Linked DNA regions of Neodiprion lecontei. The protein of the gene in region 2 binds, or shares a complex with, the protein of the main gene of each other region. Links are inferred from orthologs where the notes say so. Each region holds a gene or a part of one and is shown on either strand. Other genes may lie near its edges.

What was found.
Region 1: ragulator complex protein LAMTOR3-A (region 2) and ragulator complex protein LAMTOR4 homolog share a complex: the UniProt entries of both Drosophila melanogaster proteins name them as parts of the ragulator complex. The link is inferred for Neodiprion lecontei from reciprocal best matches to the Drosophila melanogaster genes Lamtor3 and Lamtor4.

Annotation. Positions count from the first base shown.
Region 1 is NC_060264.1:23,146,284-23,161,684, forward strand, and holds ragulator complex protein LAMTOR4 homolog, read right to left. Parts: upstream 6,499-15,401; 5' UTR 6,270-6,498; coding exon 6,198-6,269; intron 6,121-6,197; coding exon 5,872-6,120; 3' UTR 5,774-5,871; downstream 1-5,773. Other genes in the region: uncharacterized protein LOC107224137, read right to left, coding at 1-85, 162-277; cysteine desulfurase, mitochondrial, read left to right, coding at 1,728-1,833, 1,917-1,996, 2,179-2,295, 2,360-2,497, 2,761-2,966, 3,069-3,190, 3,253-3,410, 3,673-3,944 and 2 more; GTP-binding protein YPT6, read right to left, coding at 4,614-4,812, 4,900-5,144, 5,292-5,471; isocitrate dehydrogenase [NADP] cytoplasmic, read left to right, coding at 7,434-7,634, 8,281-9,495; cullin-3-A, read left to right, coding at 12,411-12,536, 12,612-12,995, 13,071-13,274, 13,358-13,537, 13,651-14,025, 14,095-14,265, 15,035-15,142, 15,263-15,401. UniProt on the Drosophila melanogaster protein: Regulator of the TOR pathway, a signaling cascade that promotes cell growth in response to growth factors, energy levels, and amino acids. As part of the Ragulator complex, may activate the TOR signaling cascade in response to amino acids.
Region 2 is NC_060261.1:12,071,731-12,089,093, forward strand, and holds ragulator complex protein LAMTOR3-A, read right to left. Parts: upstream 10,972-17,363; 5' UTR 10,677-10,971; coding exon 10,668-10,676; intron 10,447-10,667; coding exon 10,213-10,446; intron 9,120-10,212; coding exon 8,982-9,119; 3' UTR 8,579-8,981; downstream 1-8,578. Other genes in the region: glyoxylate reductase/hydroxypyruvate reductase, read left to right, coding at 2,971-3,041, 4,838-4,965, 5,877-6,066, 6,993-7,156, 7,242-7,532, 8,230-8,345; phosducin-like protein, read left to right, coding at 11,395-12,022, 12,093-12,325; ATP-dependent RNA helicase SUV3 homolog, mitochondrial, read left to right, coding at 13,394-13,470, 13,607-13,639, 13,722-13,951, 14,633-14,855, 14,956-15,124, 15,231-15,342, 15,439-15,569, 15,684-15,997 and 3 more. UniProt on the Drosophila melanogaster protein: Regulator of the TOR pathway, a signaling cascade that promotes cell growth in response to growth factors, energy levels, and amino acids. As part of the Ragulator complex, may activate the TOR signaling cascade in response to amino acids.

The DNA.
Region 1 (15,401 bases), on a different chromosome or scaffold from region 2:
TGCAGTTGTGGAGAGAGTGACAAGAAATGGCTGAATTTTCCCAAGGGAACTGAACGACGTCAGTTCAACCATTGTGCTCATGTCCCTGCAGAATGAAACATGTGATATCTGATATTTGGCACGGAAGTGATGAGTTACGGGTTGACCAATAATTAGCTTACATTGCGTGACTTCTGATGCCGAGGTTGGTGTGCTTGACGGGAACTCTGACGACTGGCACGCTAACCGGTGGTTTTTCTATCACCTCCTCTGTTTCAATCGCGGCATCCATCATCATGAGGCTGAAATCTAAGAGAACACAAGAAGTGATCCACGAACCATGTAGCTAAAATCGCTAAAATTTGTGAGAGGATGAGTCGAATTTTAGGTTATGTATCGACAATAATATAAGCAAACCTAATTTTAAGTTCAACTTTGGGCAAGAATCGCAATACAGTACGACCTAAGGGTGATTTTACACAGTTACGAATAGCATTGTTGAAGAAATCGTTAAGATTTGTGATAATACAGTGCGGGGAAAATTCAGGAAAATCAGGATTACACTCTCGCGGGCGTCGGCACAGGGTCGGTACTGTTGACACAAACAAAAAGCACGCGTACTTTTAGTTCAGTCTGCTACCACGGCTGTCACAGAGCAGTACAGATGAGAAATTGACGCGGCATTTTCAAAACAAATCCAGAAGAGTAACATAACACGTAAATGAGACGAAGGTAAATGAATGTTTCGAACAAGAGTTTTACTTGGTAAATTATTTTAACTGATTTATAAAGGCTGTGTAATTTCGTTGACTCATTGAAGACTGTCGTTGACTGGAGACTATTGACGTTTTAAAAACGGTGACCCTAATCAGCGTTGATCAGATTAAAAATTTTTTTATGAACGTTTTATGTCAACGGTCATTTCAAAGGGTATGAATTCTACAAATTTTATTTACTATAGTGATTTCATAGAATCCATGCCAATTCTTTATTTCTGCGTTAAATGCAAATGTATAAAAGTGTTTTTGTACAGAATCGCGTATAGAATCGGGATGTTGAGCTCGTTTTTGCGTTTGAGATACGTGGACTTCGATGTTTGCAAATATATAAGTCAACATCAAAATCGACCAGGGCACTCTTAACAATGACTACTCTAAAACGGTAACCATCAGAGGAAAAGAAGAATACTGAAAGATGATTTCACATATTGGATGCATATTGGTCACTTTGGCACAGCTCATGCGCGCATAGTTGAATCTATCCAAACAACGCACTGTACCTGTTAACTCTAAACGTCTCTGCGTCGCATCAAATTTTTATCACAAATTCGTACGTGTAAAGTGCAATTAGCAAATGACAATCTTAACAAACATCCTGCACGGAGTTTTTCGCGCCATTGACGGCTGATCGAGGCCGAGGGGACGAGTTTCCGATTGGTGAGAGGCAAACAGAACCGCAGTTACGAGCAGGAGCTGTTCTATCAGGGTTACCGACGCTCTTTCAGGTTAACCGCACTTCACTTCACTTCATTCCAACTAATCTCTTTTCGTCGCGGCACCAATTGATCGGTGATCCTGCGTACGCCTAGCTCTCGACTCTCGAGATTCAAGATCTTGATTAGATCCGTACAGTTTCCTCTGCCTTCGCATCGAGATTCCTAACCCAAATTCCTCCTTTTTTTGAGCGCGCGACCGGCCAACTGATTGAGTAAATGTCGCACGACTGAAGAAGGCCGATCAAACGAAAGAATGTTTCGTTTGTGGAAACGACTCGTGCCTCTTGCGCGCGATCACCACGTCAACGAAGTGATTTCGTCGCCCAAGCGACACTACGCGGCTGTCAAAGAATTCGAATGTACGCTGAACTAGTAAACGAAAGATTTTACTACAAATTATGCAATTGCGCCTAACTACTTGTTAAAAATCGTTTTTTTCCAGCTCCCATCAGTGATGAGTACAAAAAGGGTCCAGCGGAGGGTCGGCCCTTGTATCTGGATGCCCAGGCCACTACACCATTGGTAATTATCCACCTCTCGAACGGAACTAAAATTATTCTTAATCTCACACTTGTGATTGTATAAACGTATTTTGTTTTAATAACGGTTTGTTTGGAAAAATTTCAATCGCTAAACTTCGCTAACTTGTTTTAATCAGTATTAGTACATCTGGGTGTCAACTGATACGTCGATTCTCATTTCAGGACCCACGTGTGCTGGACCAGATGATGCCGTACATGACAACATACTACGGCAATCCGCATTCCAGGACTCACATGTATGGATGGGAAACAGAGGCAGCTGTTGAGCGTGGTCGGAAAGTTAGTAAGGATCTCGTTTTCTCTAAGTGCTTTATATTCTATCCTCTTTCAATTTCTCTTGTAGCAAGTTGCTGATCTGATAGGAGCTGATCCGAAGGAAATTATATTCACGTCTGGGGCCACGGAGTGCAATAATATATCTGTCAAGGGTGTGGCTAGATTTTACAAGGAAAAGAAAAAGCACGTTGTAACGACACAAACTGTGAGTTGAAAAGGAAAATTGGATACGATGTAAACTATTTGATGCTCCATTTGATAATGTTTTCACTGTGAAATAATCATTGATGTTGGCTTACGTAGTTTGTTTCTAATTTTGTGATTACATTCCGTTTCAAATATATTGTATGCTTGAAATAAAATTAATTGGAGACCAGAATGGAAATATTTGTAAAACATAATGAAGTATGAAGCCACGGGCATTTGATGAGAAGTATTGAGGTCTCTCAACTTGTTCTTTTTACATAGGAACACAAGTGCGTTTTGGACTCCTGCAGAGCTTTGCAAGCTGAAGGATTCAATGTCACATACCTCCCTGTCAAACCCAATGGATTAATCGACATAGACCAACTTGAAGCTGCTCTGAGGCCTGACACATCACTTGTTTCGATAATGACTGTGAACAACGAAATTGGTGTCCAACAGCCAATTGCAGAGATTGGAGCTCTATGCAGGTTGTTATACTGTAAAATATATTTTAAGTTTCAGAACAAGACAAAGATAAAAGCGTTAAGTATTGAGCAGTGAACAGATTATCATATTTGTTGATATTGCAGAAGGAAGAAAGTTTTCTTTCACACAGATGCTGCGCAAGCTGTAGGAAAAATTCCGATCAACGTGAACGCGATGAACATAGATCTCATGTCGATCAGTGGTCATAAGTTGTACGGGCCAAAAGGTAGTGCATAAAGAGATCGAGAAATTTTTCAAAATATCCATGCATCTCAACTAATGTTTCAGGCATAGGAGCACTCTACGTCAGGCGTAGGCCAAGGGTTCGTGTCGAAGCCCTTCAAAGTGGCGGGGGTCAGGAAAGAGGCATGAGAAGTGGAACGGTGCCAGCACCTCTGGTGGTTGGGCTGGGGGCTGCTTGCGAGCTCGCACAAAAGGAAATGGCTGTTAGTACAACACTTTCTCAACTTTCCATATGCTTCACTGTAAAGTGTCCAGCATTACAGAAAATTGGGAAAACCTGAAAATGTCATGAGATTATTACTTTACAAGGAAATTTCAGAAAATTTCCAGGAATTTCATCAGTCTCTGATTTCAAAAGAAATTACATTTTTACGTCAGTTTGATAGTATCTGGTGTTAAGTATCATCTTCAATTTGAACTGAAAATTATCTGGATTAATACTTGTGTTCTTCTCCACGTTTACAGTATGACCACAAGTATATAGAAGATCTTTCCCAGCATTTGATACAAAAAATAATGGGCAGTTTAACGAATGTGGTGCGTAACGGTGATGAAGTTGCCTGGTATCCTGGCTGCGTGAATCTCTCTTTTGCTTTTGTCGAGGGAGAGTCATTGCTGATGGCTTTGAAAGATGTGGCGTTGAGCAGCGGCTCAGCTTGCACGAGCGCCAGTCTAGAGCCAAGCTACGTCTTACGTGCCATTGGAGCTGCCGAAGACCTGGCACATTCCAGTATAAGGTAGGCGTGAATGTACAATTTTTGCAAACTAGGATATCTGACATATAAATGCTGACAATGGCAAATTACTGTGCATTTCAGGTTTGGAATTGGTCGTTTCACAACTCGTGAAGAAGTCGATTACACAGCGCATAACATCATACGCCACGTTATTCGACTCAGAGAGATGAGGTATGTGTTTTATGCGCTCGATGTCAAAATTGAAACTCTAGCAAAAGTTTTGTTTGCTTGTAAAATTGATATAATTCTGTTTTCTCTTCCTCCTGCCAGTCCACTGTGGGAAATGGTACAAGAGGGTATCGATATCAAGTCAATCAAATGGACGCAGCACTGAACAGTTCCTACTCAAAAAGGGCTTTGTACACGGATTATTTGTTAAGTGATACATAGTAAATTATGACTAGCTTAGTGAGATTTCAAGTTTCCAGATTTCAACATTGCATTCGCTGCATAGTAGTATAAGAGTTTATGATAAATGAATAAATTTTTATTTTGAAAATTTATCAAATCGCCACACATCATTCATCCTCCGTCAATAAATTATTATAATATTAATATATGCTCAGCCAGCGTTTGTCATGACATAAATCATGCATTTTTAAATTGAAATCCGTTTCCTCTTGAGTTGACTAGAGAAACGTGTTCTGGGCATTAAAAGCTGAATCAAAATTAGCACAAGCAGGATGGCTCGTCGATTTCGTCGGAACTTGTGATTTTGAAGTGGTCCTTGTCCATATCGTGCAGTTCCATACGCGATCTGTTTGCCTCGACCAAATGGCGTGCAATATCTTCAAACATTTCATCAACCCCGTGCCCCGTTTTACACGACGTTTTGTACGTCGCCGATATCAAATTGTGACACTGTTCACTGGGAAACAAAAGTTACGACTGTCAATGAACTTATTGCTTTAATTCTCAACATATAATTACGATGTGAATAGATTATTTCTCTTACCAGAATTGTTCCATTTCCACATCTGTGACCTGAGGATCAACGCTTTCCAAGTCGCTCTTGTTCCCGCAAAGGAATATCTTAGCGTTTTCCGCGTAAGTTACAATGTCAAGAAGGTGCTGTGAGAGGAGGTGAAAGGAGGTCGGATTGTCAAGCGAAAAGACCAATATTGCCGCCTCTGCAAATTTGTAGTAACTGGATGTTATAGAGGCAACCCTCTCCATTCCTCCTGTGTCCCATAACTGCAGCTGGAAAGTCAGGACCACCCTCGACGTTGTAGAAAATTAGCCAAAATTGACAGGTGTAAATGAATATACTTGTCCGACACAATAAATTTAAAGCTGCACTTGCACGCGTGAAAATAACTGAACGTAACAGGCAAATGTGCTACTTACGCGAATCGTTTTTTCGTCAATGGTGTACTGTTTGTTGATATTGTCCAGTCCCAAGGTCGATTTTCTATCATTGTTTGAGACGAAGGTATTGTTCGCGAATCGCCTAAATATCGAACTTTTCCCGACCCCGTATTCGCCACATAAAATCACCTTTTGTTCGGTTACCTTGATGGTGGCCATTTGTTTACATCTAAACAATACTACCGATCATTGTTTAACGGGTTATATTTCCCACGCGTATTATTACCGATTATAACTACACACATTTATGCATGCGTACATATGCATATTCGTGATAATTAAAAAATATTCGCGCAGATTGCAGCATCTTTGTTCAGTCATAGACGTTTTGCTAAGCTCATAGATGGCGCAGACTGCCTAAAAACCGAAGAATCACCCTCGGTGTCCAACTACATCTATAATTAGTCGATTAGGTGCAATGAACAGAACCACTAGCAAAAAAGCTAGGAAACTTGCTACCGTTCACATTTGCGATCTTTGCTTTATTACATGTCTCATTTTTATATTTCAACTTAACATATGTTCCTTGTAATTATTTCGATAAGCAATATTTGACTCATCAAGCAATCACTGGCAGGTGCTGCTGCTGCTGTTCTTGAGATGAGGTCAACGCGGTTATCTTCTTCTTAACAATGTGAACCTTCTTGTTTGACAGGCATATGACGTAGCAGTGATCTTCGTAGGTTATGGATATTTTGTTGAATGTTTCATCGGACGCAAACGCCTTGGGATCGATCGTGTCGGTCAGAGTGATCAGGCTCATGATAATGTTTGCAATTCTCTCGTCGTTTTCCAGCTCTCCACCCGACTGAAATGACAGCAGTGAAAAAAAAAAAACAAAAGTAAACAATGATGAAGCTCTCGACTTGTATCGCGTTGTCATACCGTGAGTACCGCCCCGTCCTCTTTTAATACCAAATAACCGATTTGCTCAGGTATTCTCTCCATCGACAACATCTTCAAATAACCTAGCGGATGTTTGTATATTGCAGAATGGTAAAATTTAACGTAAGCACTGGGGAGCCGAGTATCAAAATTGTCCTTGCGAGGAAGTGTCACCTGTCAACACACAAAACCTGTGGTTTGACGTGTGGCGATAGTCTAAAATACAACGCGGTAGCCAGCGCGATGCAGCGCGATGTATTTTTCTGCTCTTGTTTTCTGCCTGCTTAGACTTCAATGTAGCCAACTGACAAAACTTGGAAATCTGGAGATATCATTTATCGTTTGTTCACCGTGGCGCTGTAATCCACTCTCCTGTAGTTTGGTCTCAAATTTACTCTCTAGCTCCTCTAGCTAATGAGTGCTGAAAATGGCCGAACTCTGTGAAGTTCGCGGTATGATTTTCTGTAGTAAACCACTGAGTTTACATCACTGATCTCTAGCATACAAGTAGAGGTCAGTGGTTTACAAATGAGACATAAATATCATTACATATCAGTGTAGCAAATGTCGTAGTTTCATCCTTGTTTTGACTTTGAAAATAAATATCTCATTTATTCTGAGGCATTAACAAGACGTTATTATCACGCATGACACTCACAGAAATTGCTAATTCAGCCCGCCTTTTAAATAACACCACACAGTACCTTTAATGCATGTGCAGTACATATTTCGGATATTTCGGGGCAAAATGAAAAAATATTGCGAACCGTAATTATGTAGATAGCCTGGAGGGCAGCTGTTATTAGTCCGATATTTTATGGCGGATGCCACCGCTGTTACATTGCCTCTCGGGCTTCGGCCGATTGACTCGACGGCTGGCCGCTCTAGGCGGCAATCGATTGCGTAACCAACTCCCGTTAAAAGAATGGCGCGTGTCAGCAATACTGTTAACGTCTAGAATTCGCTATCAATTTTATGTAGGGGTGGCATCAATTGACCCGTCAATGACAATAAACCGTTGGTTTATTGTACTCTTCGGACCCGGGGAGCGCGTCCAAAGGTCCCTGGGGTACACAACTTTCCGCGAGAGATAACACATCTCGGGAACCCGGTCGACGGGACCAGTGACGGTGCAACTCTAGGATCGTTCGATACGCGGTACGCAACCCGTTCCGTACACGTACTCATCCTATCCCCTAGTCGTATAATCCGGTAATAATAACAATAACAGGCGCCATGTTCCGTTCCTTGACTCGCCTGTTAGGACCGAGTGCCGCCGTGGACAGTGCGGCTCGATTACTTCGCTGCAGTACGTCGTCCGTCGCTCTGCTCGACCGAAACTCCTCATTCGACGCATCGCGCAGACGAAACCTTACGTGGACGACACAGACATCGAAAAACTTCAGCTCCACGTCAATCGCTATGGCTAAGATCAAGGTATCTATGAATGTACATATCTCACCCTGATCCATCACGCTCCCCCGAGGCGTCGCCCTGTTAGCCGATTCATCTTCCTGCAGTTTAAAAAACATTCGAGTCTCATACGGCCGGTCGCGATCGTCGCGTATCCGTTTTAAACAGTTTCTATACTAATGCCGCGACTGAGAGAAGGCACTTCAAATCACGAGACACTTGCGATTCACCTTTCGGGGAACTTTATTGTTCGCAGCGTTCGTGTTCCGAAGTATTCCGTATTTATTGCATGATTAGAACCCCGTTCCAAACCACCTTGGATGATAGTGCACATTATGGTGCACAGTGCAGAGGTCGATCCCCTCTCCTCCCCCCCACATTTAGTCGACCCATCGTTTGCCGTGGAATGTCGATGGTTTCACTTAAATAGAAAACAAGCTCGAGGTCGAGTGAAAGCTAATAAGTTTCGAATGATAAGGTTCCTACTACAATGTGGATATCACAGCGATCATTATCTCACGCGATATAAGCCGTAATAATCAATTGATTGATAGTTTGATTATTTCTCGGAATTTCCGTTCATGATTAGATTGTACAATGAAATTGTTGTAAATAAGATGTTCAGCAGTTTCTTATGAAAATACTTAAAGAAACAGCATTTTTCCAACAGGCTGGACCCGTCGTTGACATTCTTGGAGATGAGATGACTCGTATCATCTGGGACTCTATCAAGAACAAATTGATACTCCCGTTCCTGGATATTGAGTTGCACATTTATGATCTGGGTATGGAGAACCGGGACGCAACTAATGACCAGGTGACGGTGGACTGCGCGGAGGCTGTAAAGAAATATAACGTGGGCATAAAGTGTGCGACGATAACTCCGGACGAAAATCGAGTCAAGGAGTTCAAGTTGAAACAGATGTGGAAGAGCCCCAACGGCACTATCAGGAATATACTGGGCGGCACTGTCTTCAGGGAAGCTATAATCTGCAAGAATATTCCGCGGCTGGTGACTGGTTGGAATCAACCCATTATTATCGGCCGTCACGCCCATGCTGACCAGTACAAGGCCACAGACTTTGTGGTACCAGGTGCCGGTAAACTGGAAATCACCTGGACAGGTGAGTCAGGCGACAAAATCCAGCACACTGTCTACCAGTTCAAGGGGGCTGGCATCGCTCAGGCCCAGTTCAACACCGACGAGAGCATCCGTGACTTTGCCCACAGCTCTTTCCAGTATGCTTTGGCTCGGACCTACCCGCTCTATCTTTCGACCAAGAACACCATCCTGAAAAAATATGATGGCAGATTTAAGGACATTTTCCAGGAGATTTACGAGGCTGAGTACCGTTCCAAGTTCGAAGCAAAGAATATCTGGTACGAGCATCGGCTCATTGACGACATGGTTGCCTACGCTATGAAATCCGAGGGTGGCTTTGTCTGGGCTTGCAAGAACTACGACGGAGACGTTCAGTCAGATTCCGTTGCTCAAGGTTATGGCTCTCTAGGCCTGATGACCTCTGTGCTTCTCTGCCCTGATGGCAAGACGGTCGAGGCTGAGGCTGCGCATGGAACAGTCACTCGGCATTACCGCCAATATCAACTGGGTAAAGAGACATCGACCAATCCGATTGCCTCGATCTTTGCTTGGACAAGGGGCCTACTACACCGTGCTAAGCTGGACAACAACAACCAGTTGAAGAAATTCGCAGAGACTCTGGAGAAAGTTTGCATTGATACGATCGAGGCTGGAAGTATGACTAAAGATTTGGCAATCTGCATCAAGGGCATGAACAATGTCAAAAGGTCAGACTATCTTGAGACGTTCGAGTTTATGGACAAGCTCGCTGACAATTTAAAGAAGGAACTGGCCAAGGCGTGACTGCAAACATACATGTTCCCAGATATCCGGAGGTCGAAGCTTTGAGCCCAGGAAAGGGCTGCTGCTTCATTTATTCCAGAATCTATTGCCAATTTTTTCAGTTTAAACCTTCGAGGGGTGTTTATTGGATGAGGAAAATAGTTTTTTTTTTTTTTTTTTTTAGACAATACATGCGTTAATAGCACAACACTCAAGTATTCTTAAGTATGAAAATGCCATTGTTATTACAGGAACCTTTAGCCTGTGAAATATTTTTGTAAACCTATAAGTCAAATGAACGATTTTCGTCTGGTTTTCAATGTATAAACAAAAGGTTTTATAAATATGTTTTACAATGATTTTACCATTTGATTGCCTCATTTACAGGAACTGTGAAAACCTGCATGTGCGAATATTGTTGGATTATCTATAGTCTCGTATTCCTTCGAAATAGCTGTGGACTGATATGAAACCTTGCTCTACAGCTACACTGTATTCAAATTATATAACTTCAAGACTTCCTGAGTAGCCATGGTCAAAGATCAAGTTGGATACTTGAATTGCGTATACTTTACGTAACTCCACAACTTGAATGTTGGCATAAAACGCAATTCTTTTCCACCTATATCTAAATTATCGGTAACCGGTTACTTGCTAGTTCATTGTAATGAAAGATTGATTTCAACAAATTGGTGATCGATGAGTGAGCCTTAAATGCGCCGAAAATACAGCGTTCGTTTGAGCACTGAAAAAAATTATGAAGCATTTACTTCCGAACTATCGGCTTTGGACGAATAGTTTCGAAGGGCTAATAGAAAGTCATTGTATTACAAGACCAGTGTAGTGCATCATGATAATTCCTAGGAAATTGCGTCACCGAGAGCGAGAGGTATTGCAGTATCAAAAACCCTCCTAGCCATCTAACTATCCGAACAGAAGGCTTCTAGACAGCTGTATTGGAATTTTCTCACCATGGATGCTATAGAGCTGTAGTATCGGCAGTCAGTGATGAAATGCAGCTTTATCGTTTAATGGAATTGGATAATTCATCCAGTGCGATATACCGCGGTATACATCTATGCTTGGTAAACGCGTATTTTATTATAGTTTTAGGTTACGTTACGTTCAAAAAAACCTCTTTGCCATCTAACTATCGGAACAAAGGGCTCCTAGTCAGCTGTACGGGAACTTCTTTACCATGGGGGTTGGAGGCATGTAGTTCCGGTAGTCGGTAATGAAATGCAGCCTAATTATTCAACGGAATAGGATTATTCGCCAAGTGCGATATTTTGTGTATACAATTATGCGTGGTAATCGCGTATTTTGTTACAGTTTTATGTTACGTTCCATTACATCGTGATAAAAATGTGTATTTATAGTACCGCGTGAATCGAACGCAGCCCACAGCGCTCGATTAGTTATTCGCGCTCCGTGCTCGCTTCATCGCCTTCTCCTCCTCCTCCGGCAGCCCGTCGTCATCGTCGCGGAATAATTAGGAAAATAGATCGTCTGATACACACGGTTGAAATTCGGTATGCCTCGATCTGTGGGAATATGTGCGTCATTCCATTGAAGTGAGATTAATTAAGGCGGAGGTAAAAAGGAAAGAAAAGCACAAAGAGAACTAACGAGGAAGAGACGAGCTTGTTAAAGACCGACGACGTGAGGCAGACGCGTTTAAATAACCCTATAAAATAAATTCTGTGTTTTGGTGGCGCGACTCCATTTTATACCTACCACTACCCACCACACAGTCCCGCGATAACGGGTAATTTCAGATGCCTTGTTTTCCTGTAAATAACCGACATTGACTGGTCGCTCGGTCCCCGTTGTTTCTCACCGTCGAGCGAGCGTCGATATTATTCCTCGAACCCACCATTGCGAAATACACGTCGCCCCCGCGCCCGCCCCTGGCCTCGATGCGTGAATGACACCGTTAAAGCTTTGTAAATGTGCGTACGGAGATCGAGATTTTCGCTGACTCGATTTTATAGTGTTGGTAGTAATAATACCGAAGTGTCAAGCTGAACGAAGACCCTTGAGGAGATTTTTTACTACTGAAAATGATGAAGAGCGGTGCGACCCACAAGAGAGAAAAAATGCGGATACGCGCGTTTCCGGTAAGAAGATTTCTCACGTATCTTATTTCCCTCATCGACGAATATGCATGCCCATTTGATTAAAAGGAGGAAAAACTCGCTGCTCCTCGCCTCGCCTCGCCTCGCCTTTCGACTCGGGCAGTTTTCATATTGTCACGATCTCACGATCCTCGAGGCTCGACGCTCGGGTCCGTCGGATTTCACGCACTGTCATTTAAATGGAAATATGTCCACCCGTCATCCTCCCCACCTCCTCTTTCCCGACCCCTTTAACCTAGCTCACATCGACTAAAACCATATAACAATATAATATATTTGATCAGCTTTCACTTTCGGCCCCTTTGTATATTGTATCAAGATAGCCAAACCACAGCAGCCTACGAAAGGTGCACTGGTTTGGTGAACGAACCTAATGTGTTTTTTTCCCCATTCTCACCCCCCCCCCCCCCCCCCCCAAATTCAAGACAGTTGCCTTAGCAGTCATAAAGACAATGGAAAGGAGTATGCCTTTCACTTTTTTTTCCCTACAAATCCAAAAACGAAATTTTTCACCCCGACAAACGCTACTTTCGCCAAATTTTCAAGTCCAAAGTCTTACAAATCACTGAAACTATCAATAGGCTGATAGATTGCCTGTTCAAAGGACTAGGCCTGGATGTAGAAACTCCAATTTAGTGACAGCAGTAATCACGTCTTTGCTGATGCTATATTGACAAGTCAAGGTTAATTTTGAGCGTTCTTGATATGGCGACTATGCCGATCGACACATAAAACAATAGGTTAAAGAAAGTGATTGAGCGGTCACCACACAGAGAAGGATTGGATAAAAATCCAACCATGGAACGTGGTCAGTTAGAAAAACCAACTTCACAAATTATGTGTGGAGCACTCAGTGAAATAGCTACTATCTCAGGGCTGTTTCGATCAGGGAATCCGAGCTCCCTTGTGATCGTCGACACCCTTGTGAGGGACACTGCCTATTAGTTTGCCAAATCAGCGTTGATTTTTTATTCTCACACCTAGATGCTCTGTTTTTAGATGACCATGGACGAAAAATATGTGGAGAGTATTTGGGCACTGTTGAAGAACGCCATACAAGAAATACAAAAGAAAAACAACTCCGGCCTGAGTTTTGAGGAGCTGTACCGAAATGCATACACCATGGTCCTTCACAAGCATGGCGAGCGTTTGTACACCGGGTTGAAAGAAGTTGTTACGCAGCACCTGGAGTCGAAAGTTCGGGAAGACGTGCTACGCTCCCTTCACAACAATTTTCTCCAGACACTGAATCAGGCTTGGAACGATCATCAGACCTCTATGGTTATGATCAGGGATATACTAATGTACATGGATAGGGTTTATGTGCAACAGCATGATGTTGACAACGTCTACAACTTGGGCCTAATCATATTCAGGGATCAGGTAACACATCGATTGAAACCGTTGCTTTCGCTACATCTGTACAAATCCTTTTTGACGAATCGTTATTTATTTCAGGTAGTCAGGTACGGCTGCGTGAGGGATCATCTACGCGAGACACTCCTGGGCATGGTAGCGAGAGAGAGAAGGGGGGAGGTCGTTGATCGAATCGCGATAAAGAATGCATGTCAAATGCTAATGCTGCTCGGTATAAACTGTCGCCAAGTTTACGAAGAGGATTTCGAGAGGCCTTTCTTACAACAGAGCGCTGAATTTTACAGGGCAAGTTTTACTTTTATTTTCACAAAACCATATCAATTGTCCTATTAATTTTCAATCAATCGTGTTTAACGAATATTCAACAGATGGAGTCGCAAAAGTTCCTTGGCGAGAACAGCGCCTCAGTCTACATAAAGAAAGTTGAAGCTAGAATTCTTGAAGAGTCAGAACGGGCGAAGCACTATCTGGACGAATCCACAGAGCCAAGGATAGTCAAAGTGGTGGAAGAAGAGTTGATTAAAATACACATGAGAACCATCGTTGAGGTGAGGACAAAATTTAGCAGTAAACTTCATGTATATCAAATCTTTGTTACGTGTTACAGAATTGCTCTAAAGTCTTGTAAACTTTGAAATAATTCAAATGAATGCTGTTGCAGATGGAAAACAGTGGTGTGGTGCATATGTTGAAGAACCAGAAAACTGAAGACCTTGGTTGCATGTACAAATTATTCGCGAGAGTAACAGACGGATTGCGCACTGTATCAGATTGTGTGTCGCAATTCCTCAGAGAGCAAGGACGCGCCTTGGTCCAAGAAGAGCATGAGCCAACCACAAACGCAATACACTTTGTGCAAAATCTGCTGGACTTGAAAGATCGTTTCGACCATTTCCTGCACCACTCGTTTAACAATGATAAACTATTCAAGCAAATGATCGCGTCGGATTTTGAACACTTTCTGAATCTAAATTCAAAGAGCCCTGAGTATCTTTCTCTCTTTATCGATGACAAATTAAAAAAAGGTGTAAAGGGGGTAAGTTGAATGCGGCTTGGCATGAAGATCCTTTCGTGCAGGTTTTAACTGAAATGTTACTTTCTACAGATGACAGAGCAGGAGATCGAAGGCGTGCTTGACAAGACAATGGTTCTCTTCAGGTTCCTGCAAGAGAAGGATGTCTTTGAGCGATACTATAAACAGCATTTAGCCAAGCGGTTGCTTCTGAATAAGTCCGTCTCCGATGACAGTGAAAAGAATATGATCTCAAAGCTAAAGGTACATGATCCATAATTGCGTCTTACAAACGCGCTCGTAGATGCGCTGACACCTAGTTTCATTCGGCATACTTTGGCAAACTGAGGCTAGAGTAAATTGTCCCATTGGATAGTGTGAAAATTTTAAATGGCATAGTTCTGGCAGACACAGGGCGCGTTCAACGTGGACGTGGACATCTTGATCGCAATGAAAAAGCTGAACGCTGAGCCACCCAAAGATTCCCAGGAGTCGTTCTTCCTTCAAAGGTCGAAGGGCTAGTGCACAAAGAGAAACTAGACTAGAGTATGTCCGTCCACCCTGTGTCCCGATCCCATTGTAGGATCAAGTAAGTGTCCGCTTTGTAAACCATGCTGAAAACCATGCTTCGAGCTGAGCAACCAACCGTCAAACCTTCCAACAATTTAATCATCCTTCGGTTCAGGCTCGTATGCGAGTATTATTCGTCAAAGTATTGGATCAAATTCAGACACGGCGCGTGTCTCGGGCATGCTTTACGAAGCTCTGATTTTCTTAGCCGATTAAACACTATATTGCAATTGGTGTGATAGACAATTTGGCAGAGGGAGTGGCAAAGACACATGCCTTGGAGTTCTGCATGGTTTAATAAAGCTAGCACTTTACTTATAAAAGACGTACGAATGTAGAAACCTTTCGTCAACTACTGCAGGACTTCAGGGCAGGTCAAAACCTCGATTCAAAACAGTTACCGCAGACTCTGACACTGTATATACGTACCTATATAATAACTCATAACTGTGCAATTTTTTAGACTGAATGCGGTTGCCAGTTTACATCAAAGCTGGAAGGAATGTTCAAGGATATGACGGTCAGCAATACTATAATGGAAGAGTTCAAGGAACACGTATTAACGTCTGGCGTAAGTTACAAACGTGTTGAAAAAAATCCTTCATTCTCACATCAAATCTGAAATGATCAAACTGACGTGGAACTGCTCAGGCATAATTATTTCTGGATAATTGTTTATCAAATTTCACAGACAAGTCTACACGGCGTTGATCTGAGCGTGAGGGTTCTGACAACAGGATTTTGGCCAACACAGTCAGCAACACCGAATTGCAGTGTGCCCTCAGCGCCAAGAGAAGCGTTTGATGCTTTTCGATGTTTCTACTTGGCCA
Region 2 (17,363 bases):
TTCAATATTAGAATTCATAAATTAAGTTACAATATCTTCAGTGACAAATCTCATATTGTGATCATATTTTATCACAATACAATGCATGAATAGATGACACTGAAATTATATAGAGAATACAAATTCAAAAATTTCAGGTGACTTGAAAAATTAACGACTGAGCCAGGAATGGAACTTGGTGTCTGGAGATGCTTTGCCGCGCTATTTCGAATTTCGAATACAGATGATGAGAGAAATTAACATTGTAGTCAGGCGGCTAGGTGATCTAGTGGAGTAAGGCTCCGGCAAAGCATCTCTAGACACCAGGTTCCATTCCTAGCTCCGTTGTTAATTTTTCAAGTCACCTGAAATTTTCGAATTTGTATTCTCTAACAATTTTTCTCGTATAAAAATATATATGACTTCTGCATATCATTCTAATGGTCGACTAGGTCCGGTCTAAATGACTTAATACAGGAGTGTAATGAATTACACTCTTAAACAAGCCACGAATACACACTGTCTCAAACTCTGCCTCTTGCGACAAAATCCGCAACTTCTGAAATTATATACAAAAGCTTAAGGAATCTAAACAATTTATCAGTTTACTAAAGCAGATTTTATGTTACCCAATTAGCCAATTCAATTGTATTATTTTTGATCATAATCAATCATGCAAGGTTGTAAAATTAAATATTTATGGAAGCCAGTGTGATAAATAAAAGGTGATATTGCTATACGCTATGGTTTATAATTCCAGTATAAACCACTTTCTTTACTTTTGAGATCGAAAATTGTAACTTATAAATATATTGAATTGAAAATATCTCAATGTGTCACAATATCAGAATATAATTAATGAAAAGTATTGATTTTTGACTCAGACACCTCCTCTAACAGTATTATTTTTTAAATACCAATATCCTCTCGGATGCTTTATCTCTTCTTCAAAAACGTTTCTTCCTTATTTCTTTGACAAATTTGCAAAATTTGCTATGCATTATCAAGATTAAATTCTTTGAAGTTAACTCCAGTCCTTCTGCTATGTGATACGTGGATTCGTGACATCTGAAATGAGAAACATGAAATAGGGTATTTTATTAATACAATTGTTTGTAACTTTGTAGTCAGAGTGGATGAGAATGAGAATAATAATTGCTAATAATAAAGTTTTAAATGCAATACAAAATGCTATATGATTATAGCACACGTGTTGATATTTTCTTGATAAATACAGAAATAAATTATATAGCTTTACCTGTTTGTTTTTTTCCATGTTTTGATCAAGCATTTTTCTTGTGTTCGGAACAAAATTATCTTGTGTAACTCAACATTCTCAGGGTTTATTTGAGGGTGTCAACATCGTTGTGCACAATTTCAGCACCTCGCCTGACAAACTGAAAACAAAAGGAGTGAAACAAATCAGGAAAATGTTATGGTCATATAAGGGTTGAATATAAAGCCTGTTCACTATTTCTACGGAGATCTTGAAGTTCTTAGCGGGACTAATGGAAGTGAGTTTTAAACTAAACGGACGTAACATCTCACTAAAAACCAATGGACTGAAACAAGTAGAGAAAATTTTATAGTTAAATAATGAAACTATTTACTGTTCGTACGAAGAGCTTCAAGTTTTTTGTGCAACTTGTAAAGGTTAGAATAAAAATACTGTTTGCTATTCGGACAAAGAGGTTGACACTGGCCACTGTTATCGAAATATTCCTCAAATGTATCACCACCAGGCTAACGACTTTACATGTAACCTATTACACTGTATTAGTAAATTCGTTTACTCACGATCAGTAGCCGACGCGGTGCCTGCTCCTGGACCTCCTGGACCCAAATGTATTGTGAGGTTAATCGAAAACAACTAATCAACAGCTGCGTGCCTCCAGCCGGCTGCTTAAATGAACTATATACTACTACGATTTACTTCATATTGTTAGACTCTTGTTTTGTGAGTACCATTTTTTTTCTAAAAAATTTACAATTAGTTAATTCTATGCTGACGATATATCAATTACGTTGTATGTTAATCATGACGATAAACAAAAATATTGGTAGAAACACCGGTGTCCACGAAAGCATGGTGAATTGTCGTGGAGCATCCAGCTAGCCTGAGAGCATTTAGCTCTCCTATCTTTACCGACTGAGCAAACTCACCCTTTTTCTTCCTATATTAAATAAACACACGAACAGAAAGTGAGGGAGAATTTTTTCATGCAATATTGAGTTCGCTACGATAATTTCGTAAATAAAAGATGCTTTCACGATCATCTGGGTGCATGACCTACGGTGTAATGGTGTAAATCTGTATGAACCAACAAGTCGTGAATAGGATGGCCTGACGATAAGCATCTGTAACCAGCCCCATAGTCCTCCCTAGGGACGCCCTCTTTTTGTATTGGTTTCATTGAACAAAATACTCATTGAATAGAAACGCACAACAGTGATTTCTGAAATTTCAAATATTCGCATAATCTCATGAAAGATTGTCGAAATTTCGAGGAGCATCGTGTCAGCCTTACCAAAAGGAGTTTACGTATTGGCGAGCGTCAAGTGTTTGCGAAATCCGATTCTAACTTGTTAGATAATTTCGCACTGATAACATCGGAAATCTTGAACCACAAACGCTGTTGTCGTTAGTACTATGTTTGTCGTGATAGCGTATCTGTACTGTTACACATATGACATACATCCATTAGCATGTATTATGTAATCATGTACATTTATACTCCGGCATAATATGTAATTCAGACGAAGGAACGATATATTGTGGAGAAGACGCTTCGCTGACTACATCGGTCCGCATCGCAGATCACTCTGTTCGTAAATTCCGAAGTGTGGAACATCACGGTGAGCGAATAGTGAATCATAGCAACTGCAAACAACTCAAGTCCAAGCGTATAAAATTTCTTGTATTGAGCTTATAACAGCAACAGTTTCTTAATTTGGTTGAGAATCAACGTAGTTAATTTTCCCAGTGACAGGATGAGCAGACAACGAGTTTTGGTGACGAGCAACGAAGTACCGCAGGCGGGCATTGACCTTCTAAAAACCAAGTGAGTGATTCCATGTGCTATTCATTACACGCAAACTGATGGCGCTGTGTTGTTAACTTCTTATGAAAGGCATTCGATCACTGCATGGAAAAATTATATCGGTGGTACCGGTTCATTTCACCGGGTAACTTTACAGTGCAAGTTGCCAATAACAATAATTGTTTATTTTTACCGGTCCGGCCTACTCATTGGCTTTTTCTGGTAAAAATGTTAATATTGAAAATATTGATAAACAAAAAATTTAATTTTTTCTGTTTGAATGAAGAAATAAAAGACCGAACGAAAGAAATTGCCCAGCACTTGAGATATTCACTTTTTAAAAAAAAACTTGACATGTTTATCAAAATTTAAATACGTATTTAAGACAGAATGAATAATTGTCTTTACAATAACTTATTTGTAATAAAATTTCAGGCAAGCGGTTGACGCGAGTACGATTTTTAGGTTCTCGGAGGGTAGACGAGCCTCACCTGAAAATCGCACGATCAGCCTTAATCGCTTAAGTTTACCTGAGTGCACGATCGCCCTCTATCATTCTGTAAAGCGGGCGCAAAAACGTACTTTGCGCCCGCTTGCGATAATCTGCATGCATCCGCCTATTCGTTTTCGGGCGAGAAAAAGGCACTTTGCGCCCACTCTCCGTGCACGAAAGGGTATATTTTCAGTGCAGGCTGGACAAAAAATAGTTTGGGCATATTTTTTCTTTTTTCATTTCAACTCATGACTGGAGTCCGAACGTACACCACGCAACTTTGAACTACGTTCAGTACCGCTATCGCTACGCGGTTTTTAATCTTCGAATGTGTTTTTCATTAACTAATTGTAAATAAAATCCGATTTATCGTACACCATTTTCTTCCTTACGAAAAGAAGAAGAAAACCATGTATGAGAAGGTGTGTTTATTAGCAATTGATTGGTTTTATGATCAAGAAAAGCCTGGGTGCGTTCGGACCCCAGTTATGCATTTGAAGGTAGAAAAATAAAGTCATGAGTTATAAGGATAATGGAAATGAAAAAATGTGACCTAATTACTTTTTAATACTCTATTGTATACTCTACTACTCTACTTTATGCACATATAAAAAGCAGACCTCTTTTTCCAATGAATCTTACCTCTTTTTTTTAGGGTCTTAATCGGAACGAAAACGAACTGTTAATATAGGGAAAATGTACGAGTGGTCCGCCACCCAGTGATTGGCCATTATTAAGCCAATTGTTGCCCACAGCTATTTTATCACGAAAATTAATCACCTGTCAACTTATTAAAAAAGTAATTGCCTTATAAACGTATTGATATAAATTAAGGAAATCACGTGTGTTATTACGTCAAAAATATGTGGTTGCGAAAACTGCTCAACAATAGCGATAAGTATGGACGAAATGGAAAAGTTTCCGGTTAATCTACAAGTTTCACGGTGACAGAAGTATATACTCTAATTCTGACAGAAAACAGTGAAAAAAAATATTGTAAAACAAGTGGACGACCATTAGCTCCTTCATCGTATTTGCCTTTTTCGAAACCACACAAATAACAGGAATTAAGAACCCATACACAACGTGATTTTACCATTTACGTCCGTTGAAACCACAGAAACAACAGGAAGAATGCCTAACTACAAATATATTTTTCATTATTCGTTAAAACCACACAAACAGCAGCTGTGTTCTTGCGATGATACGATCCGTTTTATAAAAATATATCAAAGTAATAATAATAATTATAATAATAAATCGATTAAATGCTGAAACATATCTTCAAATAGCAATATCTGCAAATCTGTTCGATTTTTTTCAGATTTGATTTGACAATTCTACCAAGCCCAGTTAGTACACGCGAACAAGTACTTCAAGCACTTCCGGGCCATGACGCTATTTATCTCGCCAGCCATCATGTCGTGAACAAAGAATTACTGGATGTTGCAGGTAAATGTTGAATGAGAGCAATAATTTTTTTCGCTTGCACCTAAAAAAGTTTTACGTATTGAAAAATTCGGAGGAGACAATGTGTCTTGAATCCAGTTATAAAATATCGCTCTCGGTATTTGAACTCTTCCCAGACTTGATCCTGAAAGCATTTTGCAGTGACTTCAATTCACTACAGACGTGTCCGTTGAACGAAATTCGTAGCTCAAACAGTTTACAAATTATAGGCCTCGAAAATCAATTTTATTTAGAATATTTATAGGGAACTAAATTCTGTATAAAAATATACTTGGAGCAAAGTTCGTGTTTCAGTGGTTCACAAGTTATAATTCTTGATAATGAATTTGATGTAAAACATTTATCTTTAAAGATCTTTAGTGGCCAAAGTAATGACGTTATAACGAAAATTTCGTATCAATAAATACGGCTGACTGGTAACAATTTTAAATATCGATTCCGAGAGCATATTTTAAAATTGGATTTAAGAGTTAGTCTTCCTTGAGGATTTTTGTTTGTTACTAAATATAATAAGTTATTCAGGTGGAAGCGAAAAAACATGTTGCTTCAAAACGATATAATTTTGTCTTATAGGTAACATATATTACGTATTTTCGGCTTCATACAAACTTTTCCGGCCGACTCGGCCTCCGTTATATACGTTATCTGATCTTATCGTGAAATCAAATTTCGTTGAAGCAATAAAAATCTATTGCTCCGATTAGATATTATATGGATTATGCAACCAGTCTGTAATATGCTTTTTCATAATTTCTTAATTAAAGCGACTATAGATTATGCGAACTGACATGACTATATTTACCAATCAACAAAATGGATTTCTTCCACGGGCATGAAATTATCTTACCTCTTTGATTGATTGATATTGAAACTCAGGTTTTCATTTTCTTCAGGACCAAGGTTGAAAGTGGTGTCAACAGCATCTGCTGGATACGATCATTTGGACGTGCCTGAAATAAAACGGCGGGGTTTAAAAGTAGGTAACACTCCCCATGTTCTAACTGCTGCTGTTGCTGAGGTCGCTGTAATGTTGACGTTGAGCGCGGCCAGGCGAGCTTACGAGGGCCGTATCAAAATCATCGAGTAAATAATTCAACGTTTTGTTATATTACAATTTTAGCTTATGTATTTCATAACAAAGAATTTTTAAAATATGCATAGCTGCAAATACAATTACTTACATAGGTATGCACCTTAGGGTGGTCCTTAAAAAGGACATTTTGAATTTGTAATGCCTCGTCCCCCAAATCGGACCAAATAATTCCCTAACATTTACAGATTTTCATCTGAACTCTAATCCGTGCCGCAAAAACGGTTGATTTTCCGATTTAATCCTTTTCAAGGGAACAATAAATCTGCCAAACAGATTTCGATAAAATTTGATATAACACGTTCCTCTTGGGTCGTTGATTACGAATCTAAACTCGAAATTTCCAAATTTAAAATGGCGGATCCAATATGGCAATATCATTTTTCTTTTGGGATGTTTGTCCGCCATGTTGATTTGCCTATTTCGACATTTGAAATTTCGAGTTAAAATTCGTAATCAGCGACCCGAGGAACCCCCCTACATCAAATTTCATCGAAATCCATTTGGCAGATTTACTGTTCCCTTGAAAAGGGTTAATCGAAGAAATCAACCTTCCGGCGGCACGGGTTGGAGTTGAGATAAGAAGCTGAAAAAATGAGAGAATTATTTTTGAATTATTTGCATCCGATTTAGGGGATGGAACAGTCGAACAATCGAAATTCAAAAATGACCTTTCTTAAGACCACCCTAAAATATCTGAGATCTTGTGAAGTTAATTTAACTTTAAGAGGGGCTGATTCTTATAATTATGCTAATTCAATGCGAAAGGGTGGTAGGAATTGCAGATGATGCATTGTTAGTATAAGCTGCAAGAAAATTCTAATTCATTGGGTGTATCATAATTATATTATTACTATTGTTTATCTTTCATTTTCAAGGTACTAGAACGAAATATTTTAATATTGGTTAATTTTTTCAGAAACAAGTGGGAGTCACGGCCGCAATGGATGTTGGGCCGTGATTTACGCGGTTCAACTGTAGGTATAGTAGGCTTGGGTAACATTGGACAAGCAATTGTGAAGCGACTGAAGCCATTCGAAGTGGGCCGATTCATTTATTCGGGCCACTCGAGAAAACAAGCCGGTAAATAAATTATTAATGAATATTACCTATGATATGAATAAACGTTCGGATCGAAATACACATGCAACGTTTCATATAATTGCAGGTGACGATCTTGGAGCTACGTTTGTATCGTTTGCTGATCTCCTCAAGGAAAGTGATTTCGTGATAGTTGCCACGCCGTTGAACAATGAAACTACGAATATGTTCAATGACAACACTTTTGCCCAGATGAAAAATACGGCGATACTGGTGAACGTAGGACGCGGACCTGTCGTCAATACAGATGCCCTCGTCAAAGCACTTCGAAATCATACAATTTTTGCTGCTGGATTGGATGTTATGAATCCAGAGCCACTCCCCAGTGACCATCCACTTTTAAGCCTGCCGAACGCAGGTCAGTATTTGAGCGATTTTTTACGTCGGGACCTCTCCTGGCAATAAAATATGTCCAGAAGGTTTCACATATTTGTACGAATTTACCCAGAATGGTTAATTTCTAACAGATCCTTACTTGTTTCTAAAAATCCTAAACCGGACCTAGTAATTTCTAGGAAAAGAAATAATTTTTTGCAAATATCGTATAGAAAAACATTGATGATTTAATATTTTTGAAAAATTTAGACAGTTCAATCTATTTTAAAATCCTTTTCAACTGTTTCATTTTTAATTTCTCTCAAAAATTCGTCTGTTTTTTGCATAACGCGATACGCCAGAGATACGATTTTTTTCAGGATTGTGACACATAGTGGAGTTCTGAGAAAACATGAGTTATCCATAGAAATTGGTCCGATTTTCACCTCTTAAAAATCAGTCGAGTTGATCATGCACAACGAGAAAGTAAAAAAATCGGAGTTTTATATTTGAGTTTTGGTAGAAAATGAAATTCCGCGTAAAGAATTTAGAAATTTTTTTTTAAAACTCTAGAATTTCTTGAATTTCCTCAAACATTATCAGGACAATTCAAACCTTTGCTAATTATGATTTGCCTGTTATTTTTTTATCAATGTCTTTGGGAATACAAGATGAAGAAAAACAAATGCAGAAACAAATTAATCACCCGAAGCCCACTTACGTTTTATTGAACTTTTTAGTTATAATCCCGCATTTGGGCAGTGCAACGGTGAAAACCCGCTCAGACATGGCTACAACAGCGGCGCAGAACGTGATCAACGGCTTGGAAGGAAAACCACTCGTCTATGAATTATAGTGGCAAACAGGCTTTCAATAAAGTTTGCACCAACTGTGTAACCTGTTGCCTGATATATGTATCAAATATTTTCAAAGCAACTGAAATTTTACGGGGCTTTAATTTTTTATACATGTCTTCAAGATTCGTATTTCCACTTTACGTCATATTCAAGAATATATACCTAGCAATTATTATGTTTTATAGTATATTTCATATGAAGGTGTCAAGTCTGGGAATTTTTTTACCCAGGATATAAGCACATTGACATTCCAGTAACTTGTTTGTAGGTGTGTTATATCTCACGTTAATTCATACAGATGTGACTCCGTGATCAATGTCTATTTTTATTTTATGAATGCGAAGTTATTTAGGAATACGAAAATATAAAGTGTGCGTATGACACGTGTTCACGAAATAATCAATTCAATTCTCCAATAATACATATACAGTATATATCATTTTTTGTTTTGTATGTATATTACATAATTATATAAGATTTATAGAATTAATTTACAACGATTTAAATCGTAATATTTAACCTTTGTTTTGCTAAAATTTGGTTCAATGTGTTTTACACATTCAATTACACAGTCGTCGTGACGTTTTAATTCCACGATTTCTTCAATTAGTTTATTAGTGCATCACAGGTGTCCATCAGGCTTCGGCAACAACGTTTTTAAGATTTTGTAAAATTGGATCAATTTTACTCTCTAGTGACAAGATGTGCCCGGTATCACAAATGTTGTTTGCAATAAAGCTTACGACCAATGGTAGCTTATTCATTTGAACAACCTGTTGAACATATCATTGATCACACATAAATCCATGTATTTACACACTTATAACTGTTTCTGACAACATGGTAAATAATTGTAACTAGAGGTAAAAATTTACAAGAAATTTGCACAATAATTAATTAATTTTATAATTATATAATATAGTTGAAATACAATAAATGCTAGTTCCCTTTAATGTGTATGGAGCATTATTTTTCAAATCTGATAAGGTTTTGATAATTTTTTAGTTTCAAAATTTTTTATAAATTCAGTTTTACCTCTTGACAGAAGTGCTGATGATTTTTTTGAAGCTGCATTCTCAATTTGTTTTCTAATATAGAATTTTTGAAACATTTTCCATCTAAATTTTGCAAATGAATGAAATTTAAAAACTAAATGAGATGTTTAAAAAAGGTAAAACATATCTTTTTTCCTCTTGAGTGATGGATTCATTGATAAAATATTTCATAATTATATCTCATAATTTCGTTGTACCATTTTCCTTATAGTTCCGTTCTACTTTTTCGCATAAAGCCAATTATGATTATGGGTCGATGAATTGTTGTATTTCTACTATCTATTCAGAAGAGACTTTTTTAAAAATCAATTTCTTGTCAGGTGAAAGAAAGATTGATTTCATCAAGTTTGTAATCAATCGGACGCTACTATAGGAATACGTGTTCATACGGAAAAGATTTTTTTCTTATGAATGTGGAAGAAATTGTTTTTATAACTTTCATTCAAACGACTAAAACATCGTAATATAAATTTCTCACCAAATGAAAAAATGAATTTTAATTAGGAAAATTTGACGTTACATTAAAAAAATTAATAATTTAAGAACAAATTGAGATGAAAAGATCAAACTAAATCATCAACAAGCCTTGTAATAGGTAATATGAGATTTCAAAAAATGAAGCGTACCGAAAATTCGACCTTAAAATCTTGTCAAATTTGAAAAATAATATGCCATATAGAACTAGTTTCATATCATTATATGTTTAAACAATGTACTCTTCAGAAAAGGTTGCATGTAAAAGTGGAATAACTGAACTCCAAACAGCCTTCCAGAATTACGGTGCTCTTATTATCAATGGTTCATAACTTACTTGATAACTGCTGTATATGCTAATAATGGTTTTATTCTTTCCTAGATCTAATTTGCTCCCTTGATCAGTGGCCATTCCGAATGTAGAAAGGAAGCTTGCCCGCATTGCTAATTCTGGGGCTTTTTCATCTGACACTGATATGACAGGAACACCATCACGATCCGTGATCAAAATACTGTGTAAGCCATCAACGCTGTTCAATAGCTGATATAAAAATTTCTTCAATTCCTGAAACTGAATCACAAATTGATTTGTGTATGCTAGAAAAATACAGATCGCGAATATACATGTCTATATTGCTTCGAATTTTTGAGCTGACTTCTATTGCAATTCCAATAAAGAGTGAGTTCTATTTTGAAAAACATAACCTCGATTATAGTTACTTTCACTTGGCTTCGAAACGCTAGCTAACGGTCACATATGATTACAGCATAAACTTCAAAAAACAAACTCACCACGTTCATTTTCGAATGCAGAACCTGTATTCAGTTTTCAGTATTTTTATTGCATTCCAAATTTTTATTGAATTTGAACAAAGAATACTCCGTTCTGTGACTAAGAGTTGACACTTCACACAGCCGCGTCAGCCACGGGGCGCCGATATATTTCTATTTATGGTTTGACAGGGTTACAATCCTACCCTACCGATCGAGTTATTTTTGTCCTACCCGCATTTAGCTGTGAATTTAAAAGGTAGTGTACGTCAAAGAGAATTATCTTTGGTGTACGTAAAAATACTGTATTATAAGTGATATGACATGTTATTCACTCCTTGTTACCAAACTTATACAAGCGAACTGTAAGCGCGCGCATTGCTTAACATGCCTAAAACAGAGACAGAGCCAGTCATACTCAAGAAGTGCAAAAGAGATAAAAAGATTGCTACCGGGGCCGGGAGCTGATTTTGATACGCACCCGCAGTAAGCTAAAGTGTGTGGCGTATCAACCTCAGAGAATTACTCTATGGCGTCAACTTGGTGTAAAGCGTCGTTCACGCAGTCAACAATTATAATAAATAATTGGTTTTCGATAAAACAGCGAGAATGAAGAGCAGAGCATTGATGTTCATGGACTGAGATTGGGTGATAAAATTATTATTCCGTTGAATATAATATTAATAATTCCGCTCTTCGTGTATTAAATAGAGGTACAACAGAAAGCTCTAGCCCAAAAGAGAACGGAATGGCAACACTTGAGGATAAAATTTTGGGTGAAAAATTACAATATTACTGCAGTAGTTCAAGTGAAGACGAGGGGCAAGACTCAGCGGATTCTGAAGATGAACAAAAGTCGCAGAAACCGTGCGACGCGACAGCGTCAAGGTCTGAGCAACTGCCTGAGTGTGCAAAGTGGGACGGAACTTCAAGCAACACAGGGCCGAAAGGGGTCTTAGGCGACTGGCAGCGGTTTAAACAAATAGAGGCAGAGAAGAAAGTCGAACAGGAGAAGGAGAGGATCGAGCTGCTGAAGAAGTTGAGTTTGACTTGCAGGAGTGCTCTTGACGAGGAAAAAGATAATCTTGAGGAAACCGATCCAGAGTTGGCAGATTTGATGAACGACGAATTTTTACTCAATTATCAGAAGCAAAAAATGATGGAAATGCTCACTCGGGCTGAAAAATTAAGATTTGGCCGGTTATTCAACTTGGTAACTGCTGATCAATTTCTGGAGGCCATCGACAACGAACATGAATCTGTTACCATCGTTATTCATATTTATGAACCTGACATAGAAGGATGTGAGACTATGAATGGCTGTTTACTTTCACTGGCCATCGAATATCCCAGCGTTAAATTTTGCAAAATTCAAGGTGAGATGGTGAAAGAATTCCAAACTTCTATAAAAGAACATTGCAGTTGCTAATGCTGAATTATTTTTAGGCTCCGCCGCAGGCTTAAGTAGGCACTTCAAAAAGGAGGGAGTTCCAGCACTGCTTGTTTATAAAAACAAACAAGTCATAGGTAATTTTGTTCGTGTCACAGATCACCTTGGAGTTGACTTTTATTCCTCTGATGTTGAACATTTTTTAATCGAGCATGGAATGATAAGTGACAGAAACTGTATTCCATCAATTGTTTCTACTAAGAGAAATGCAGATTCTGACAGCGACTAGAAAAATGAACGAAATAGAGACTGGAGATTATATGTGGTAAAAATGTATTTAATATTTATAGTAACTATACTTATATGAACTATGTAACAATAAACCTGAAGCTCCTGTATATTTTATCTATGCTGTTCGTAAGTATGACGATTGGTTTTCTCGTCATTTACATAGAGTGAATTATCTGTAAATGAATGGTTCTTTGATCCAATGGCATTGACTGAAAAGTTGGTAAAGATGTTGCATAGATTTGGTTTTCTGAAAACTAAACTTTTCCAATCATAACATAACTAGTAATAAATTGCTCTTTTTGCAACCAACTGATTTGCATAAATTTTGCCATTGAAATTATACGTGTATCAGTAATGCAAAAATTTTAATTGACACGAAAGAATACAAAATCGGACTCTCGTGAATAGCGGAAAATTAGGCAACGCAATGAACCCAATGAATAAAAAAGGTGGAAGATGTTCTTGGGAATTTTCAGTGTTGACAAGCATTGGTTGGCAGCAGGTTTTGCAACTCGCATTGAGAAGGGTTTTAGAAAGCTTTGGAACGCACAACTCATTTCAAACTGTCTAAAGTCCCAACGCACACCTTTGGATAAATCCAAAATTAGGCTCGAGACTATCGCGAAAATGTTTCTAGACGCACAGTTAGTAGATTGAGTTACCAAATACCGATTAAGCATTGAAATGCATTGGACAATTCATTCAATCACTTGTTTCAGATAAACCAGGGAAGAGTCATAATTTAAGAATAAATTAACTAATTGTACGGCATTCTCAACTTTTGTAAATGCTTACTGTTGCGCCACGGAGTAATGGCGCTTTTCATTGGCTACACTTGCGGATGCGCACTGATTACGGTTCTTCTAGTATCTCGTTTCAACTATTGGTTGAAAACAGTGGAATCTCACTCAGTGCGCGCACCGGCAGTCGGCACGCTCGATTGTAATTTTTTGATCCGCAGGTCTTTCCGAAACATAACCTATTGCACGATGAACGTTATTTGATATTTAAAGATAATCTGATTTCACTCTGGTTTGGATGTTGTGAAATTAATAAATATATAAAAATGATACCGACAACCCGACGTATATCGGAATCCCTACTTCGAAGAAGTGGGATCCTGTGCACCACTTTACAAGACAGGTAGAGTATAATATCTCTATTATATACTTTTATATTGTAATAAGGTAATCGACACACATTATTCATATTTATTCACTTATTATAACCTATGGTCAATTTTGTATTCCTATATCCTACAAATATTTTATTGTAACAGGTGTAAGTGTGAGGTGAGTTTAATCAACAACAGGTAAAGTTTTATAAAAATTATTGAATGTAATAATTTTATGAATTGATTTCTAATACATTACGCGTTATTTTTTATTTTTCAGATATCTTAGAATTGGAGCTTATTTAGCACAACCTTTGCGGGGAAAAAAAGATGACTCGACTACAATCACATCTTTGTTCAAACCAGTTCCCGTCAAGTCGAACCCAGATGATATTAACGTGGGAGTTGAACTTAGTGGGGCTCTCAACAAAGCTGACCTCCTGAAAGTGCTCAATCAATTCTATCAAAGAAAAGAGATCAAGGTGCTCGCCATGGAACACGGATTGGACAGTGAGTACTTAAGGTGCTTCAACTCGTTATTTCAGTTTTCTCAACTTCCCGCTTTGGTATTTTTATAGAAAAAGGAAAGTTTTTATAATTACCCTGAAAATGAAAAGTTGTGTTTTCACTATATTTCTACTATTTAAGGCCTGGAGAATCTTCTCTGATCACTTTCAGGTGGACATCTCGATTTGAGTGTATGATCGTTTTTTGGTGGCAATTACTGAAAGATTAGATTTTATTATTTTGGCCTTAATTGATTCAGTTTTGCTTGACTCAGAACTGACTAGAATTTGAACTTAATTCTTGTGGTATCTCAAAAACGTCTAGATGCAGATGAAACTTGCTTCATGGGTTTAGCTTTATTAATATAAAGCTGATTAGATTTTTACTAAAATCAGTTGAGCCTTTAAAGTTATTTTCAAAATTATAAATCATGTAGTCTGAAATTTTTATCTTCATCGATAGTGGGAGTAGCTGGAAGTTCTGAGATTGATCCTCTCAAGTTGAGTAGATTTCCCTGCTTGTTTCCACCCGTTTTATCGCTGTAAATTACATTCAATAAACATTGTCCTACAAAAGCCAATGTAAATGCTTCTGTTGGTTGTTTCCTCCCTACTTTTGGTTCATTGCTCTTAGTTTTTCTGCATTATTTTGGAGACTGCACACACAAATATGAACGTCTTGCAGGTTACTTACAACATCAAACCTTCATCAGTTTTCGACGCTACTGCTTAGATGCTGAAACCTTGCCGGCAGACTTGCATGTTGTAATAAGCGACATAATGCAAGGAGCCGGGCATGTCGATGACATATTTCCGTACTTTATGCGTCATGCGAAACAGACTTTTCCCCATATTGAATGTATGGATGATCTCAAGAAAATAAGCGATCTACGCACACCTGCTAACTGGTATGAATAAAACAGTGGAAATATTTGCTTCTGTATTTTGAATAGAGCTTCATATTTATAACCAGAAATATGCGCAAATTAAATAACTATCATTTTGCAGGTACCCGTTAGCGAGAGCTAAGACAAGAAAAATTATATTTCATGCTGGACCAACGAATAGTGGTAAAACTTACCACGCGCTACAGAGGTTCATGACTGCAAAAAGTGGATTATATTGTGGGCCGCTGAAGTTGTTGGCTGCAGAAGTGTTCAATAAAAGCAACACTAACGTGAGGATTCAGTAATTCATTAGAACTGTTTTTGAAAATCTTGCAAATGTTCTTCATTGTTTTGAACGTTATCGCAATACTCTGTTTATCCTGCATCTTTTTCCAGGGTACCCCATGCGACTTAATTACCGGAGAAGAGAAAAATTTTGCGAAAGGTGCAGACAACCCTTCAAATCACATATCTTGCACAGTCGAAATGGCCAACACAAACGCTGCATGTAAGGTTATATCCTTTGATTCAATTATTCATTACATATTACGTTTAAGTATAAAAAAAAAAAGGAAACGAATGGAATAAAATTAATTTATTTTAGGTGAGGTTGCCGTCATAGATGAAATCCAATTGATGAAAGATCCAGGTAGAGGCTGGGCATGGACTAGAGCTTTGCTAGGACTGCCAGCCGATGAAATTCACCTTTGCGGAGAAGCTGCTGCGATAGACTTAGTCAGTATATATTTCAAAATTCGTTGAAAAATCAATGAATTTGATGGCCAACGATTCATAAATTTACATGGGTGAGATATGCTGTCCGAATCACTAATGATTGCTATATGTTAGGTCCGCTCCATATGTATCACAACTGGAGAGGATGTTGAGGTACGGAGATATAAACGTCTGACTCCGTTGGAAGTCGAAGAGTCTGCACTGAAATCACTGGACAATGTAGTTGCAGGAGACTGTATAGTTTGCTTTAGTAAAAATGAAATATATTCTGTGTCTCGTAGCATCGAATCTCGTGGTATTGAAGTGGCAGTTATATATGGAAGCCTTCCACCAGGAACAAAACTAGCTCAAGCAGCAAAATTCAATGACATCAATAACCCATGTAAAGTTTTAATTGCTACTGATGCTATCGGGATGGGTTTGAATTTGTTAGTATCGTTCTTTTTTTTTAAATCGTAATTTTTCCAATGATAAAGGCGAACTCAAATAGCATGTGTGGAAAAAAATTTCGATGTTTAATCATTCGCGTTTTTTTACACATATTTCATTTGGCAGGAGTATACGAAGGATAATATTCTACTCTTTGATGAAGCCGACTATCAATGAAAAGGGCGAAAAAGAAATTGACACGATACCTGTGTCCTCTGCTCTGCAAATAGCTGGACGAGCCGGGCGTTATGGTACACAATGGGAGAAAGTAAATCATTTTTAAAAATTCGGTGTTCAATTCTATCACGCTTATTCGACTTCCCGGAGTTGTAGTTGCTTTGTTGTTTCAGGGATATGTAACAACTTTTAGACCAGATGATCTATCCAAGCTGCAACACTTGCTTTCACAAGAACCAGAAGTCCTTACTCAAGCTGGTTTACATCCAACCGCTGATCAAATAGAACTATATGCTTACTACCTGCCTGATTCTACTCTGTCTAATCTAATGGTGATTGTTTCAATACATCATAATATATTTAGGAATCAGCAGATTTGCATCGAGTCCGTAAATTGTACTCTTTTTTCAGACTTACAATTAATTATTAATCGTTCTTTCCTATTGCAGGATATTTTCGTATCGCTATCTATAGTGGACAACTCTTTATACTTCATGTGCAATCTAGACGATTTCAAATTTCTTGCTGATATAATTCAGCACATCCCGCTACCATTGCGCGCACGATACGTATTTTGTTGTGCGCCGATAAATAGGAAAATACCATTTGTGTGCACAATGTTCTTGAAAGTAAGCTGATCATGCTCAACCAATCTATTCTAATAATATCACATATTCTACTACATTAGTCACGCTCAAAAAGTTCAATTGAAACTGATTAACAACATTTAAGTCAGAAAGATTCCAAATTGTGTATCTGTAATTTCTGATCAAGTACAAACGGGCTGTACTGTCTAAATTGAATGCTAGGACAAGTCAACAAAAATCATTTAGAAAATCTCCAGCAGCTTTATGTGCGGCAATGACGGTGAATACGAATGAAATAACATCTCTACTGTGTACTATAAATGAATATGACCATGTTCGAATAAGAAAAGCTAAGATATCAACCATCAGACAAAAAGATTTATAATCAGAACGCTCAAGATGTTCAAACTTTGGTATTTTCGAATTGATTCTTATTCTTTGAGCTTACTGTGTTTGCCATAGAGCTTTGAGGGTACATTGAAAAAAAAAATTCATAAACAGTTGTGCTTATAGTGGATAATGTTTGTGCAGCACAGCACAATAGATGTTTCTCAACAATTATATTTGCACGTTGTAATTATACTATAATATAAGATTCAGT